2 linked regions of the Caenorhabditis elegans genome follow. The protein of the gene in region 1 interacts with the protein of each later gene in a pairwise test. Each region holds a gene or a part of one and is shown on either strand. Other genes may lie near its edges.

Region 1 (7,918 bases):
TATTTTCTAGGAGAAATGTGGAAAACCGAGGGTAATTGGCCTCAGTTCTCAGCAGTTTTCTGCCTTTTTCTTTTCTTTTTTTCTTTTTTTATTTCGATTCGGGAAAAATATTTCCAGACTATAACTTTATGATTTTCAGATCAAAACGGATGACTCACTGTGACTGTTTATCAGTTATTTTTAACCTGAATCTTTGACCAGAAGAATGAATCAAATGTCAACCCCACATAATCATAAGAACAAGGCAGAAGAAAGAGCAAAATTTAATAGAAATAAGCACAGAAAGTGAAGCGATTTCAAATTGAAAAAGTATATAAATCAAAAAGGTTTGAGACAAGGAAAGAGATAAAAGAGAAAGAAAAGTGTGGCCTACTTATCCAATCCTTGATTTTTCCATTTATCTGTTTTGACCTATTTTCTGGTGTTTCAAAGAAGTTTTAGTTTGAATGGGTGTCACAATATAATTTTAATGTTTTTAATATTGTAAAAATTGTTTGTTATGCTCAATCTGATTTTCCAATAGCTTTCCAGCTCTTTTTGATTCTCATTTATTTAAAATGATATTTTTCAGTATTTATGACCCTATAAACTTCTCTGAAATTTATAAATTTTCACATTGGTGGCGGTTTTATGGATATACACTTATGGTGTATATCCATACACTCATAATAAAAACTCTAGTCGGCATTTTTGAAAATTAGAGAAACTTTTGCATGTTTGAATTTGAACCCCAATACTTTCGAATAAAGCATTTATAACAAAATTAAGATCCATATTTACTCCCCATTTTTAGACTTCAAATTTGAAAAATTGGCACACTGGCGCTACTCCACATTTCATTTGTATATTTAAAGTAAGCCTCATGTATACCATATGACTGCCTACCACGTGTCAACTGGCAATTACTGTCATAGTGAGAAATGCGTTAACACAGTTCACCTCATCAAAATTCAGAAGGCATACGGTAGGCATGCACATAGGTAGGTAGAAGGCAAATACTTTTCTAGTGATAAGATATTCATGCTGTATGCTTTTATATTTCGCAACATTTTCTTAATTCTCGCAGTGACTATCCTTTTATCGTCTTTTCTCGGTTCGGTTCCTTTTTCTTTTCTTTTTTTTTCATCCTTCATCCCATTCAATCTTCTCCATTTTCGATTTGAATCTAACAGGTTCTTTGCATCTTTTTCATCTCTCACTGCTTCTTCTTTTTTCTCTTTCTGATTCAAAACTGTTACTGTCACTCAGTTCCTATCCCTCCTCACAGTAACATTTGTTGTGTGTGTGTTTTGTTGGCTTTACAGCCAAATCGAGGAATTGTACGAGAGATGATAAGGAATTGAGAGGGATTAGAGAAAATGAGAAGCGTATGCATGTATGTGTCATATTCACTGCATATTTTATCACTTTTCTCTTCTTTTCTCCACTTTTTTCTGATATACACAGCTGATTTCTGTAGATTTGAAGCAATTACGATAAGAGAGCACAATGAAGTGCTCTTGAGATTTCATTAGCTCTTCCAATTTGTCTGAGAAATCCAAATTTCACGGTCATCTATGGCGTCACATGTGTGCTACATAATGTTTCTTTCCAGGTTATTTCGGCCCTAAATTTTAGATTATCTGCACTTTTCCGATTTTGATCTACAGAAAATGTGCCAGACTTCCAAGTGTGAATTCCATGTGAAGTCGCACTATGGAGGACTCAATTTTCGACTGCGTATACTAGCCGCAATTTCTGGAAATCATACTTAGATTACTTAACTTCAAAAACAACTTTTCAACCTAAACTTTATTCTTCCATTATGATGTCACCAGGTACTTTCCCAAATAACCAATCATCAAAATCCAATTGACTTTGTTCAAAAAGTCAAAATCATAACCTGTATTAATAATTATTTATTAATAAATCTTGAGATATAAATCTCAAAAATTCCTTCTTTCCCCCTAATCAATTGTGAATCTTTAATGATAGTCGTCTAGTTTGATTAATGTGATCTGTGTATAACTGGTGGCCAATATCAGTTTCTGGTGATCAATGTTTTGTTAACTTTTTCTAGTTTAGATCGAGCTCGAACTAGGTAACGTGATGAAAATTGTGTCGAATGCTTTCTGCCAAAATGGGAAAACCTATATAAAATGTGTTAATAAACTGGTGTTTTTTATTTCTATGCTAAGCTTCCTCGAAATAGATAAACATCGGGCAAGGATTTTTGTTGGGTTTTTAATGATTTCATAACGGGAAAACGTTATGAAATCATTAGAAACCCAACAAAAATCCTTACCCGATCCTATAAGTCCATCGAGCCAATTTTCGAAAAAATAACGGTGTTTGTACTTGTCACGGCCACGTAGTAAGCATCGAGAGTTGTATTATAATGTTGTTAAAATTTTAAAATTTTTAGTGTTGTACTTTTGTTTTCAGGCGCGAACCTTTTTTGGCGAGATAGATCGACAAAAAACCAAAATCCAATTCCAATCTTTTTTTTCTCGCCAACCCAAACATCCCCCATTTTTTGACAAAAACATAACCGGTTTTTTTATTTAATCTATTAAAAATTCAGCGAGCGAGGTAAAGATTAGTCATGGTATTTCCCCCATTTAAATCTCGACGCAATCTGTTTCTTTCTCTTTACTCTTACCTTTTCTTTTTTTCAATTTTCTCATCTCGCGTCCGCCCAACAGAAACCATGATGATCAAGTTGACCTCGAACTGTGTACCGTTCTTCTATTGAATAAGAGAGATCTCCGTCTACTCACTACTCTCACAAGAGTATTTCTGTTCACTATTCTTTTTTTCTCTGAACTTCTGTGACTGAATGCACTCTCGGCACCAAATGAGAGAGATGCCTTACGAGGGCGCGTACTTCCTTTTACCTACATGTATGTCTACCGAAACAAACAATATGAGGCAAATTTTCATGGCTTTTGCTAATTTCACTTTCATAGTCCCTGTTACAAGCATATTATTTAGGTCAGGTGCTTGAAGTTTCAATTGATAATTTTGAGAATTTGTAAACTCGTCTAGTAATTTAAAACTCATTCAGATTCTGTATAATGTAACACAAAATCGAAATTCAGGTAAAGCTCGATTATCCGGTCCCGACAAGACAAATTTGTGTTAAATGCAAAAGAGTATGCGTCTTCAAAGAGTACTGTAGTTTCTACCTCTGCCGTTTTGATTGAGTTTCAATAGTTTTTCTCCCGATTCCTAAAAATTGCATGTGTTTATTTTAGTTTTTCAGTAGAGATTAAATTCGTTTTCCATCGAAAACTCCGTATCAAAGATCAATGAAGTTTCCGCAGCTACGAGGAGTTCGAGGTTACAGTACTCTTTAAAGGCGCACACCCATTCACATTTAACAGAACATTTTCGTTTCGAGACCGGCTACCGTATATATGGGGCAAAATGTTGCATTTTAACGCTCCTCATCGTCAATTTTCCCTGTCTAATTTATTTAGAGTGCTTTTAAAGTTAACTTTGAAAATATTATTAGAGAGTGACTGTGATGGGCAAACAGTCTAACGGAACAATCTTTCATTCCTCGACAATTGCTGAGTCTCGCCACGAACAAGTCAGAAGACATAGCATATTCTTGAGAAAAGCCTTCAGTCCGATTTCACTTTCCATTGTTCCTTCCTCTCACACGCCTTCAGCATCTTCTTCTTCTCGCCACAAGCTTCTCACTTTCCAATCGAATAAATAAATCGTGTTTGACCCATAGCGTGAAAATCCCATGAAATAACCTTTCGTTTTCTAACTTTTTTATTTGAACTTTGTTTTAATTGTTCCTAGTTTCTACATATTGTATTTCTCGAGAAATTTCTCTCATCTTGCCAGTAAAAAAGTGTGAGTAGAATTTTTTTGAACTTCTGAACGCAGCGCATTGGCTATATTTTAGTTTTGTGAGTAAAACTCTTGACCTCCAATTCGTCGAAAAACGGTTGTAAATTTTAGTACTATTACATCGGGCTCATGATATCTCAGGATAGAGTCTACCTGACAAAACAGAGGAAATCGGTATCGAATTGCAACAACAAAAAGTGCCAATCAAAATCTCCAATTTCTTTCAATTTTCTCAGACAGACTAGGCTAATTTTTATATTTTCTTACACTTGTCCTTTATGTCTTGAAATTTCTCGGTTTTTTTTCGATTTCGGTAGAAATATTACACTTTTAACCGGTTTGGAGATTAATTTTCAGCACAGCACAAGGCTGAACAAGTAAAACCGAGGTCAACGATAGATTGTGTTTCTTAATTTATTTTCAAATTATGACTTCTTTTTAAGATTTTGTGAAAAGTCAATTCTTGTGCGGAAATAAAAATTATTTTTTGGTCGTATCGTTTTTATCGATAGAGCGTATTTTCATGTGAAACACCACGGTGCGCAAATTGTATTTTATTCCGTAGAAACTCTTTTGTCGAGTTCAAACTCTGAAAACTTCTTATTTTTCCATTTTCTCGGCGTTAAAATTGCATATTTAATTTTTAAAACTTTTTTCTTTTTGTAGTATTCAGTTTTTATAATCGATCTCTCTAAATGCATCTAATTGCTTATTCCCCGAATGAGACTTTCCCAGTTTAGTAGTGCCTCCGATAGCCAATTTTAAACAAATATTCTGAAATTTTAATTTTTCTTGTTTTTCGCGAAAAAACTGTCATTTTCTTTATTATTCTCTTTTTTAACCGCTTTCCAAATTAATTCGGCTATTTTTCAGACGTTCGCTTCGGGTCGATGTCAGAATAAACGAAAAAGAATAACCCGTTGCACCCAGCGAATCGTCGAACATTTTCAATACTCACCCATATCAGTCACCCAAAACGGATTTATTATTATTATTAGAGCATGTGAGTTCGTTGAATTTGTGAATTTATTCTATAAATCTACAATTTCAGATCATCCACATTTATTCTCAAACGCGTGATGCGTATATCGATAGGCCGGATAGCATGGCAAATTCTGGCAGTTTTAATCGCAGTTGCATTCACTATTGAACATGATTCCGTAAGTTATTCAATCAACTCTAAAATACTTATTATACTTTTCAGATTTGCGATGAAAGTATAGGTGCCTGTGGGGAACCAATACATACCGTAATACGTTTAGCAAAAAGAGATGATGAGCTTGCACGGCGAATAGCTGCTGATCATGACATGCATGTAAAAGGTGATCCGTTTTTGGATACTCACTACTTCCTTTATCACTCGGAAACAACAAGGACACGGCGACATAAAAGAGCGATTGTTGAACGATTGGATTCACATCCAGCCGTCGAATGGGTTGAAGAACAGCGACCGAAGAAGAGAGTCAAAAGAGATTATATTCTCCTGGATAATGTTAGTTTTTTAGAAATATTCAACCTACATGATATTTATCCAGAATCATTACCGTTTTTCTTTTTATCTTAGCTTTAGAGTTTTTTCTGACAATTAATATTTTTCAGGATGTTCATCATTCTAACCCCTTCCGCCGTTCGGTTTTGAACCGTGATGGTACTCGTAGAGCTCAACGACAGCAGCCACAGTCTCCACGAGAAATTCCATCACTTCCATTTCCTGATCCACTTTATAAAGACCAGTGGTATTTGGTGAGTTTCAAATTCAAATTTTCTTTAAAGAGAAAAAAAAACCAACTGATACATTTACAGCATGGTGGAGCAGTTGGTGGATATGATATGAATGTTCGTCAAGCGTGGCTTCAAGGATATGCAGGCAGAAATGTTTCAGTTTCGATTCTTGACGATGGAATTCAAAGAGATCATCCTGATTTGGCAGCGAACTACGATCCACTCGCGTCAACAGATATCAATGATCACGATGATGATCCAACACCACAAAACAATGGAGATAACAAGTAAGAATTTTTAAACACATGTTCTTCAGAAATTTATGACATTTAATTGTTTTAGACATGGTACAAGATGTGCTGGAGAAGTAGCTGCACTCGCCGGAAACAATCAATGTGGTGTCGGTGTTGCCTTCAAAGCAAAAATAGGAGGAGTTCGTATGCTTGATGGAGCTGTTTCGGATTCTGTCGAAGCTGCGTCATTGTCTTTGAATCAAGATCATATTGATATATACTCAGCATCATGGGGACCTGAAGACGACGGAAAGACTTTTGATGGTCCAGGTCCACTTGCCCGAGAAGCTTTTTATCGTGGAATCAAGAATGGCAGAGGTGGAAAAGGAAACATTTTTGTATGGGCCAGTGGAAACGGTGGATCAAGGTATTTTAGTTTTGAAAAGAGAATTTTGTGAACAAGAATGTTTAGGCAAGACTCATGTTCAGCTGATGGTTACACAACTTCAGTCTACACGCTTTCCATATCTTCGGCTACTTATGATAATCACAGGTATGATTTTATATTACTATAAACCCTTAATTTGTCTGAATGAAAATTGATATTCTGAAGATAAAAAATGGATTTTCTACTATCAAATTCTTATTCTACTTGTCTACAGACCATGGTATTTGGAAGAATGCCCATCATCAATTGCAACAACATACAGTTCTGCGGATTTCCGTCAACCAGCAATTGTGACCGTTGATGTTCCTGGAGGATGTACTGATAAGCATACAGGAACTTCTGCGTCTGCTCCATTGGCAGCTGGAATTATTGCTCTTGCTTTAGAGGCTAAGTTAGTTTATTAATTCCAGAAAACTTGCTCACTGTTTTTTTTTAATTTCAGTCCTGAATTAACATGGCGTGATATGCAACATCTTGTTCTTCGAACCGCCAACTGGAAACCACTTGAGAATAATCCTGGATGGTCAAGAAATGGTGTTGGACGTATGGTTAGCAATAAATTCGGTTATGGTCTAATCGATGGTGGTGCACTTGTCAATATGGCAAAAACATGGAAGACAGTCCCAGAGCAGCACATTTGCACATATGAATACAGACTTGCTAATCCAAAGTAGGTTCAATCATAGATTTCTCTGGAAAAAATACGATCATTACAGTCCTCGGCCAATTGTGGGTCGTTTCCAACTTAATTTCACTTTAGATGTGAATGGATGCGAGTCAGGAACCCCTGTTTTATATTTGGAACACGTTCAAGTGCATGCTACTGGTCAGTTTTCAATTGATACTGTTCTCTACAAATCTTATCAAATTGAATTCAGTTCGATATCTGAAACGTGGCGATCTGAAGCTTACGCTCTTCTCACCATCCGGCACCCGATCGGTTCTTCTTCCACCACGACCACAAGATTTCAATGCTAACGGATTCCACAAGTGGCCTTTCCTTTCAGTCCAACAATGGGGAGAAGATCCACGTGGAACATGGCTTCTCATGGTGGAATCAGTCACCACTAATCCAGCTGCTACTGGTGAGAATTTATTTAAATGTATACACACACACACACACACACATCGAGAATACGCTAAGAAATGCATTATTTCTATCAGGACTGTTGCAAAAAAAATGTTCGACCAAAAAGTTTTTTATTTGAAATTTGGACCAAAAAACACGAATATATGAAAAAACCAACAAAAAAATCGATTTTCGATTTTAAACCGGACACAACGGAAATTTTTCATAAAACATTAAAATTTGAACGAACGGAAGGATTTTCGTTTTTCTTTTTTTTTTTAATGAAAAATCCATTTTTCCCAAAAAAACGACAGCTCTGATTTCTATTTAAAAAATATGTTCGCCTTTGAAGAGTACTGTAAGTTCAAACTTTTGTTGCTGCTGAATTTTGGTTGATTTTTTCATAGTTTTTCAATAAGACCATATTTATTTATTTAAAAAAAACGCAAATTTTTAGCGGTTAACAAAAATTTGTCGTGCTGAGACCGGTTTCGATACTTCTGGCGTAAAATTTCGTGACTAGGTAATAGTAAAAAATTCAAAATTGAAGCGAAAAATTTCCCTATAAATATTTGAACCATATATGGTGATTTCAGGTAC
Region 2 (7,918 bases), on another chromosome or scaffold:
CGTGATGTTTCGATCATTTTTCCTTGCTAACTCACATTTCTCACACTTTCATCATAAGATCATGAGGAACGGAAAAATGTTTAAATGATCTTAGGCTTAGGCTTAGGCTTAGGCTTAGGCTCAGGCGTAGGTTAAGGCTTAGGCTTACAATTAGGCTTAGGCTTAGGCTAAGATTTAGGCTCAAATCTATTTTATTCCCGAAATTTCATAAGTTTCGTCGGTTTCTGTATCTTAAAATTTTTCTCTTTGAATCTTCAAAAATATCACCACACAAAAATTGCCAAATTCCGGTCCTTCTCCATGTCCACTTGATACATTATGTTTGATGGCTACTGTCACATATCAACGCCTTCTGATATGTCCGGTGTTGTCTATGTCTCTTCGTCGTTTTTAATAATTATGAGAAAAATTGAAAGAATTCTGAAGGCGTCGTCCACTACATAGCTTCCATGTGATGACGATTTCTAGAATTTAAAATTTCAAAATTTCAGAAATATGCCCTACAAAATTCCCGCCAGTACTATAAATATAGTTGGCGCCCTATAAACAGTCCTTTCAATTTTCCCCCATCTTTGACCCTCACATTTTTCATTTTTCTATTTTCCTTCAATTGACATTTACTGATAAGAAACTTATGAAAAGCGGAATACATGAACGATTTTTGATGAAATCATGCTGAGTCAGAAGTTCAAGTGACATGTGTTTTTTTCTATTTGTTTGTTTTAATAACTTACTCGTTGTGCATTTGAACTTGATGTTCTCACCGGAACAGGCGACACGTGACCTTACAGCAACTGATAATATACCGTATTTTACCCGTAGCTCATATCTTGGCGGTTCTAGGAATTATCAAATATTTTCTGTAAGAGAAGGTTCCTGATGCTCTCGAAACTACAGTAGTCGATAGTATACCATACTTCCTCGAATAGTAGTGCAACCCATAAATTCATCTTGGCGGTCCTAGGAATGATCAAAAATTGCCAAGTTTTTATTATTAATTTTTGTTTAGTAAAAAGTTTTAATTGGTTGAGATATCAGTAAAGTTTATTAGACTCAAAATTGTCAGAAAACACCGAATTTGATAATGAAACTTTTTGAAAAATGCTGAAAAAAGTTTTAAAAAAAGTTATGGCGGCTCAAAAAATGACCTCAAATTAGTTGAATTTTGAAATTTGACCAACTTGTCTATGTCGCAAGTTACCAAATCTGGTGATCCTTCGACCTTAATTGTACTCAAGTTGAGTTGAAAAAGAAAAATAATTGATTTCCATACCTAAAATTAGACGGTGATTTCAAAAAAAAATAGTTTCCAGCCGCTTGACAAGTCTGTCAAATTTCAAATTTTAACCTATTTTAAGTCATTTTTTGAGCCGCCATAACCTTTTTTTTGAGAAGTTTTAAAGAAGTTTAATTATGAAATTTCGTGTTTTCAAACAATATAGAGTCTAATAAAGCAATTTTTAAAAAATTGACTAAAGCACCTTTAAGTGCGAGACTAATATAGAAAATACGACATGGTCGCTGTGGCTAAAAGTAGATCTTTTTGCACAGGTTACGTTACTAAGCGCTCTTACAGTAACCTTTCACTAATCCTATAAGTTTTGTGAGTGAACTCGCTGACCTTGGCAAGATTTTTAAATTTTGAAGCTCTTTGAGCCATCATAAGGAGTCAAAATTTGCCCAGCTCGGCAAACTCCAAAAAAAAATTTTAAAAAGTTTTAATGATATTTCTAGGAGCTCCAAAATTACTAAATTCTTAGCACAAGTTTAATTTTTGAATACCTCAATTTTATGTTTTTTTACTATAATTTTTTGAACAAAATCAATAGTTTCGGTCAATTTTTTAAAATCCAATTTGAGGTGTTTGCGGCAAATTCGCCACAATTGCCGCACACTCCTAATAAGGTCATTTCTAATTGCAGTACTTCTCCGGAATACATTTCACGAAACTGTATCACAAACTAGAATGACGTCTCCCCCTTATCACACTTTCACTCCTCCTCCTCCTCCGTCGACATGTATATAAATTTTATGAAAAAGCCCCGACATTTAATCACGAAAATGCTGACACTTTTTTAAGACACCTATACTGATAAAGAGTTCGGTTCACATTACGTCCTTTTCACTTTACTTGATCTCTCTTTTTTTTTGTCTCAACTCTATCATTTTTCCAACAAAAAAAAACTAGTTTCTCATATGTGTGGGAGGTGTGTAAATCATCTCGGCCTCCTTTTTTTCTTTCTTTTTTTGTCTTTTTTCGAAACAATTTCCGTTTCACATTTTCTGCACTTTTATTGCTTTCTTCAGTTCTCTAGAAAATATTTTTAAATTACCTAATATTTTTCCACGTGATATTGTTGCTACTTATGTTATCACATGAGCCTTTTAAAGGGCATCTAATAATATTTTTTTTATATATAAATTGTATTAAAATCAGAGATCAAGCGATCAGAAGATGATTTTTTTAAAGGATTCTTATTTTTTTCCTAAGAATCTTGTAGATCACAATTTTTGAACACAAATTAATTTGAAGCTTAAGCCTAAGCCTAGGCCTACGCCTAAGCCTAAGCATTAGCCTCATCTTAAGCCTAAGTAAAATGTTTTTGTAAAAATTCTGATGAGTTCTAAAAAATCACTAATTATTTTGTTGACTCCTTCTTTCCCCAACTAGTTTGAAAAAGTTCAATTCAAGCCCTGAAAATTTGTACCTTTTTTTTTGTAGTTCCTCCCTAGTTTCCACAACTTTTCTGGGAGTTTGTCGAAAAAATAATAATGTAGCCAAAAAGTAGAGAATACCGGAAATTCGACCCCAAAAAATTCAAATTTTCAACAACTTTTTTCTGAGATTTTTGAAGGATTTTTGATGGATGAAAACACAAAATACTTGATCTTTACATTTTCTCAACTTATTTTTTGAAGTTCAAGACATAGAATTTGTGTCTTTTTGAATTCAGAAGACCATTTAGAGGCAGTCTTATGTCCATCTCTCGCCTACATAAACGGCACATCAAACGATCTTGACCAAAGTTTTGTTTCACCTTTTTATTTTCTAGAAGTCTGCCAAAGTCTGTAAATTAAAATTAATTAAATTCCCAGTAGCTTAACAATAATTTTTACACTTTCGCCTCGTTTACAGGGAGGTAGATCAAAATCGTTTTTTTTTTCCTTCACTTTTCACTTGCAAGTCTCTCGTTTTTGCTAGATAGATAGATGCTTGATGGCAGGAAATACAATCTGGTTCTTCTTCTGCTTTTCCTTCATTGACTATCTATAATCTCTCTCCTCGTGTTTCTTATTATGCGCTTGTGAATTTTTTTTGAATGCCTCACATTTTCAGTCTTGCAATTCTTATTGCTTTGCAGAAAGCAATAAGAATTTTTTTTGAAGTTTTTTTTTCTGTTGAAAAGTTTCCAATTTTTTGTAAGAATTTGTTTGCTTTTTTGCTTTTTTGAACTTTTGGCATGAATTTTTTGGTTTTTCATATAACTTTTTCCTGGAATTTTTTTCCAAAAAACTTAAAAATTTGTGCAAAGCGGAGTTTTCAAGCTAATTTCTTTTTATCTTGTTAAAACTGATTTTTTTTTGAAAATTTTATGTCAAAATTTTTTTCATAAAAGTTGTAGAAGCTTAAAATTAAATGTTTACCTAATTTAAGAACCACTTGAGGTTTTTTTCAGAAATTGTATTTTTGAAAAATAAAATATAAAATTTTTCGATTTTTTGAAAATTTTCTAAACTTTTTTAAGGCAAAAAATATTTTTTTTTCTATTCTTTTTAATCTAAAAATTGCCGGATTTTTTTTGAATTAAACGATGAAATTTGAAGAAAAAAAATCTGGCATTTAAGTCGGTATTTTTTGAAAAATAACTGAAAATTAAAAAAAAATTTTTTGGAAAAAAATCCAAAAAAATACAGATTTTGAAAATATTCACGAAATTTCACTGGCTTTGAAACTTTAAAAAATGCACTGAAAACCTTCGAATTTTTCAATTCAAAGTACTAACTTTTTCATAAGAATCTAATTTTAGAAAAAAATGTATTTCTATTGAAATACGTCCAAAAGTAAGCTGGCTCGCGGAGCTCTTGGAGCTTCATATCCAAAAAAAAAACAAATTCCTGCATGACTCGAAAGATCTTTGATTTTTAAAAATTTGCATAAAAAAATCTTGCGACCTTCCTTCCCACTCAATTTTTTTCCTTTTTTTCCTATCAGCCAGAACGTTTTCCCATATTCAATTTTGTTCTCCATTTCCTTTTCCTATTCTCCTGTTTATTGTGTTCCTTATTCTCTTTTTTCACCCCATTTTTGTCTTGTTTATTTGTTTGTCAAAACGCATTCCACCGCTCCCCAGTCTTTGTGTTGTTCTTTGAAAGGGGACAACAAAAAAAATCGCGGAACTAAGTAACTAAGTTTTTCATTTTGAAATTTCGCTGCTCTTGTCAGAGTGTCCCACGTCGTTTTGATCTACGAAAATCTACAAAAATTGCGGGAATTTTTGGTAGATCAAACCTTGATGGGACAGCCTGACACACATACACGTGCCGTACTCATTTCTCTTAATTCCCGTTAAATATATTTTTTGAAATCTCTAGAACTATGACAATCTCAATGATATCTCCGTCATCAATCCGCCTATCCAGTGACAAACGTGACTCTTCCTCATCCAACCTGCCCGCCAACATCGAAGAGGACACCCAGTCGGTGTCCTCTTCGGATTCTGGAGTATCTGCCGACTCTATTGACCACCATCATCACGGTCATGGGCATGGGCACTCTCATGGGGGTCATGGGCACTCACACACACACAATAATGATGATTCCTCTTCGGATTGTAGTGGAGCAGGAGGAGGAGCGCATAAGCATAGTCATGATGAGAAATATCAAAAGGTACATAGCAAATTTTTTTGCAACATGGCTCAACTTTTACCTCTATTAAAATGACCATTATATTAAAACTAAATTTTTCAAAAAATGTTGCTTTTAATTTTAATTATTGCTATCTATGTAAAAAGCCCAAAATCGACCATTTTAGCATAAAAATGTGTTTTTTTTAAAATCAAGCCAAAACACGAGCTCGCAATTATACATATCAGAGGAAATTTTCAACTCCGGCAATTTGCCGATTTGCCGGAAATTTTCAATTCCGGTAATTTGACGATTTGTCGGAAATTTCCAATTCCGGCAATTCGCCGATTTGCCGGCAATTTTCAATTCCGGCAATTTGTCGATTTGCCGATTTGCCGGCAATTTGTCGATTTGCCAGAAATGTTCAATTTCGGCAATTTGTCGATTTGCCGGAAATTTTCAATTCCGGCAATTTGTCGATTTGCCGGAAATTTCAATTCCGGCAATTTGTCGATTTGCCGATTTGCCAAAAATTTTCAATTCCGGCAATTTGGCGATTTGCCGGAAAAAATCGTTTGCCGCCCACAAATATCTAGCAATACGACGACTTCCTGTGAATTGAATATTTCATCCTAAAATGTTGAAAAATATTGGAAAAGTGTCGAAAATTTCAATAACTGATTTTTTTTCCAAATTTAAATTAGTTTCCCTGAAAATGTTCTTGAAAAATTGCAATTTTATTTGAAATATATAAAAATCAAGGCATTTTTCAGTTAGCGGGACGTTTTTTTGACAAAAATGCGAAAAAAAAACGCAAAAAATATGACAAGAATTTATACATTTGAATATTTTTCTGAAAAAATCAAAACATTATTTGACGCGCAAAATATTTCGACGCGAAAACTACAGTAATTCTTTGAATGACTACTGTAGTGTCGATTTACGCGGCTCTATGTTCATAGATTTATCGATATAATATCAAAATTAAGCAAAGAATGAAAACAAAGATAATACGAAAAAGCAAAGAAAAACTGCGCTAAAGTAGTAATTTATTGAATTACTGAATTACTACGAGATATTTTGCGCGTCAGATATGTTGTGCAATACGCAGTCTCACGTGATGTCAGAATGTCTCATTTCGGCTTTATCTACGTAGATCTACAAAAAATGCGGGAGAAGAGACGCAGAGTTCGTGCTGACGTCACATTTTTTGGGCAAAATATTCCCGCATTTTTTGTAGATCAAACCGTAATGGGACAGACAGCCTGGCACCACATGCATTCTCAGAATTCAGTGTTACCGCACAATTTTAGTAGTAATTTTTTTAAAAACACAGTGTATAACTTTAAAAAAAAACATTTTTTCGCCAAAAAAAAAATGGACATAAAATTTTTTGTTTGGATTTTCCAACTAATATTTCTCGTTTCCAGGGTCGCCGAGCAGAAAAAGTGCTATGGGCAGTTGCAGCACTATCCGCAGTCTTCATCGCCGCCGAGTTCGTCGGTGGATTCTGGGCTCAATCGCTAGCAATTATGACAGACGCCGGACACATGCTCAGTGATCTTCTCTCATTCATCATCTCAATTTTTGCGATTCGTTGTGCACGTCTTCCCGCATCGAAGCGTCTTTCATTCGGTTACGAGCGAGCCGAAGTTCTTGGTGCTCTGACGTCTGTGATCATTCTCTGGGTGCTCACGACAGTGCTCGTCGTCGTCGCTATTCAGCGAATTGTGAACAATGAGCATGAGGTGGATGCTGATGTGATGCTCATCACCGCGGGCGTCGGAGTCCTTTTTAATATCGTTATGGGATTGGTGTTGCACTTCGGAACTGGAGGTCATGGGCACACTCATGGAGGACACTCAAGTCATGGACATGCTCATGATGGAAAGAATGTGAATGTTAGAGCTGCTCTGATTCATGTCATTGGAGATTTGGTGCAATCCATTGGAGTCCTGATTGCTGCCCTTATCATTAGGTTTACCGGATGGACACTTGCCGATCCGATTTGCACATTCCTTTTCTCGATTATCGTGCTCTTCACGACGGTTACAGTTATGCGGGACATCTTTTTCGTTTTGATGGAAGCCACACCGAGCCACTATGACTTGAGTGATGTGAAGAAGGCGTTGAGTGCGTTGGAAGGTGTAAAAGGTGTTCATGATTTGCATTTATGGTCTATTGGAATGGATAAGACTGCGTTTTCGGTGCATTTGGCACTTGGTGAGTGGCTTCTCATTTTGGAGTTTTGAGTAAAACTGAGAAAATTTTGGCGGAAAATTGAAATTTTTCAATAAAGATTTTGGCGGGAATTCAAATTTTTCAATAGTTATTTTGGCGGGAATTCAAATTTACTTTTAAAAATGTTTGCCGGGAATTTCAAATTTTTAAAAAATAATTTTGGCGGGGAATTCAAATTTTTCCATTGAAGTTTCTACCGGGAAATTCAAATAATTTAAATATATATTGTGGATATAAATGCAAATTTATTCAATCAATTTTTGGCCGGAAATTCAAAATTTTAAATGAAAATTTTGAAGGGAAATTCAATTTAGAGCAAAAATTGGATTTTAAAAATTTCAAATTTTCTCTGAAAAACTTTGAATGAAATTTAAATTTTCTGAATAATTTTTGGCGGGAAATTCAAAGTTTTGATATAAAGATTTTGGAGGAAATTTAAATCTTCTGAGAATAATTTTTAACGGGAAATTCGAACATTTTTTATAGGAATTTTGGCGGGAAATTCAAAATTTTAAACTGTTAGTTTTGGCGGCAAATTCAAACTTTGGCTATAAAATTTTTGGCGGGAATTCAAACAATTTTCTTTCGAAAAATTTGCCGGGAAATCGAGTTTTCCTTTAAAAATTTTTTGGCAGGAAATTCAAATTGTCTCTCTGTTGCACGTGGGGTCAGAATGTCTTATTTCGATTTGATCTTCAAAAAATGCGGGAGTTGAGACGCATACATCTCATCTGACTTCGCATGGTTAAGAGCGTGCTGACAATTTTTCTGTAAAAATATTCCCGCATTTGTAGTAGATCAAGCCGCAATGAGACAGCCTGACACCACGTG

What was found.
Region 2: the proteins of bli-4 (region 1) and ttm-1 interact in a two-hybrid assay, tested with the Caenorhabditis elegans proteins (one large-scale study listed by BioGRID).

Annotation. Positions count from the first base shown.
Region 1 is NC_003279.8:6,337,512-6,345,429, forward strand, and holds the start of bli-4 (Endoprotease bli-4), read left to right. Parts: upstream 1-4,713; 5' UTR 4,714-4,849; intron 4,850-4,897; 5' UTR 4,898-4,925; coding exon 4,926-5,006; intron 5,007-5,050; coding exon 5,051-5,338; intron 5,339-5,445; coding exon 5,446-5,589; intron 5,590-5,649; coding exon 5,650-5,855; intron 5,856-5,910; coding exon 5,911-6,228; intron 6,229-6,273; coding exon 6,274-6,354; intron 6,355-6,463; coding exon 6,464-6,640; intron 6,641-6,691; coding exon 6,692-6,919; intron 6,920-6,965; coding exon 6,966-7,075; intron 7,076-7,127; coding exon 7,128-7,334; intron 7,335-7,914; coding exon 7,915-7,918. UniProt on the Caenorhabditis elegans protein: Serine endoprotease which cleaves proproteins at paired basic amino acids at the consensus RX(K/R)R motif. Involved in N-terminal processing of cuticle collagens and plays a role in cuticle biosynthesis.
Region 2 is NC_003281.10:12,953,692-12,961,609, reverse strand, and holds the start of ttm-1 (Zinc transporter ttm-1), read left to right. Parts: upstream 1-4,438; 5' UTR 4,439-4,597; coding exon 4,598-4,888; intron 4,889-6,276; coding exon 6,277-7,069; intron 7,070-7,918. UniProt on the Caenorhabditis elegans protein: Promotes excretion of zinc from intestinal cells into the intestinal lumen in response to increased dietary zinc. Involved in cadmium resistance, possibly by promoting its transport from cells.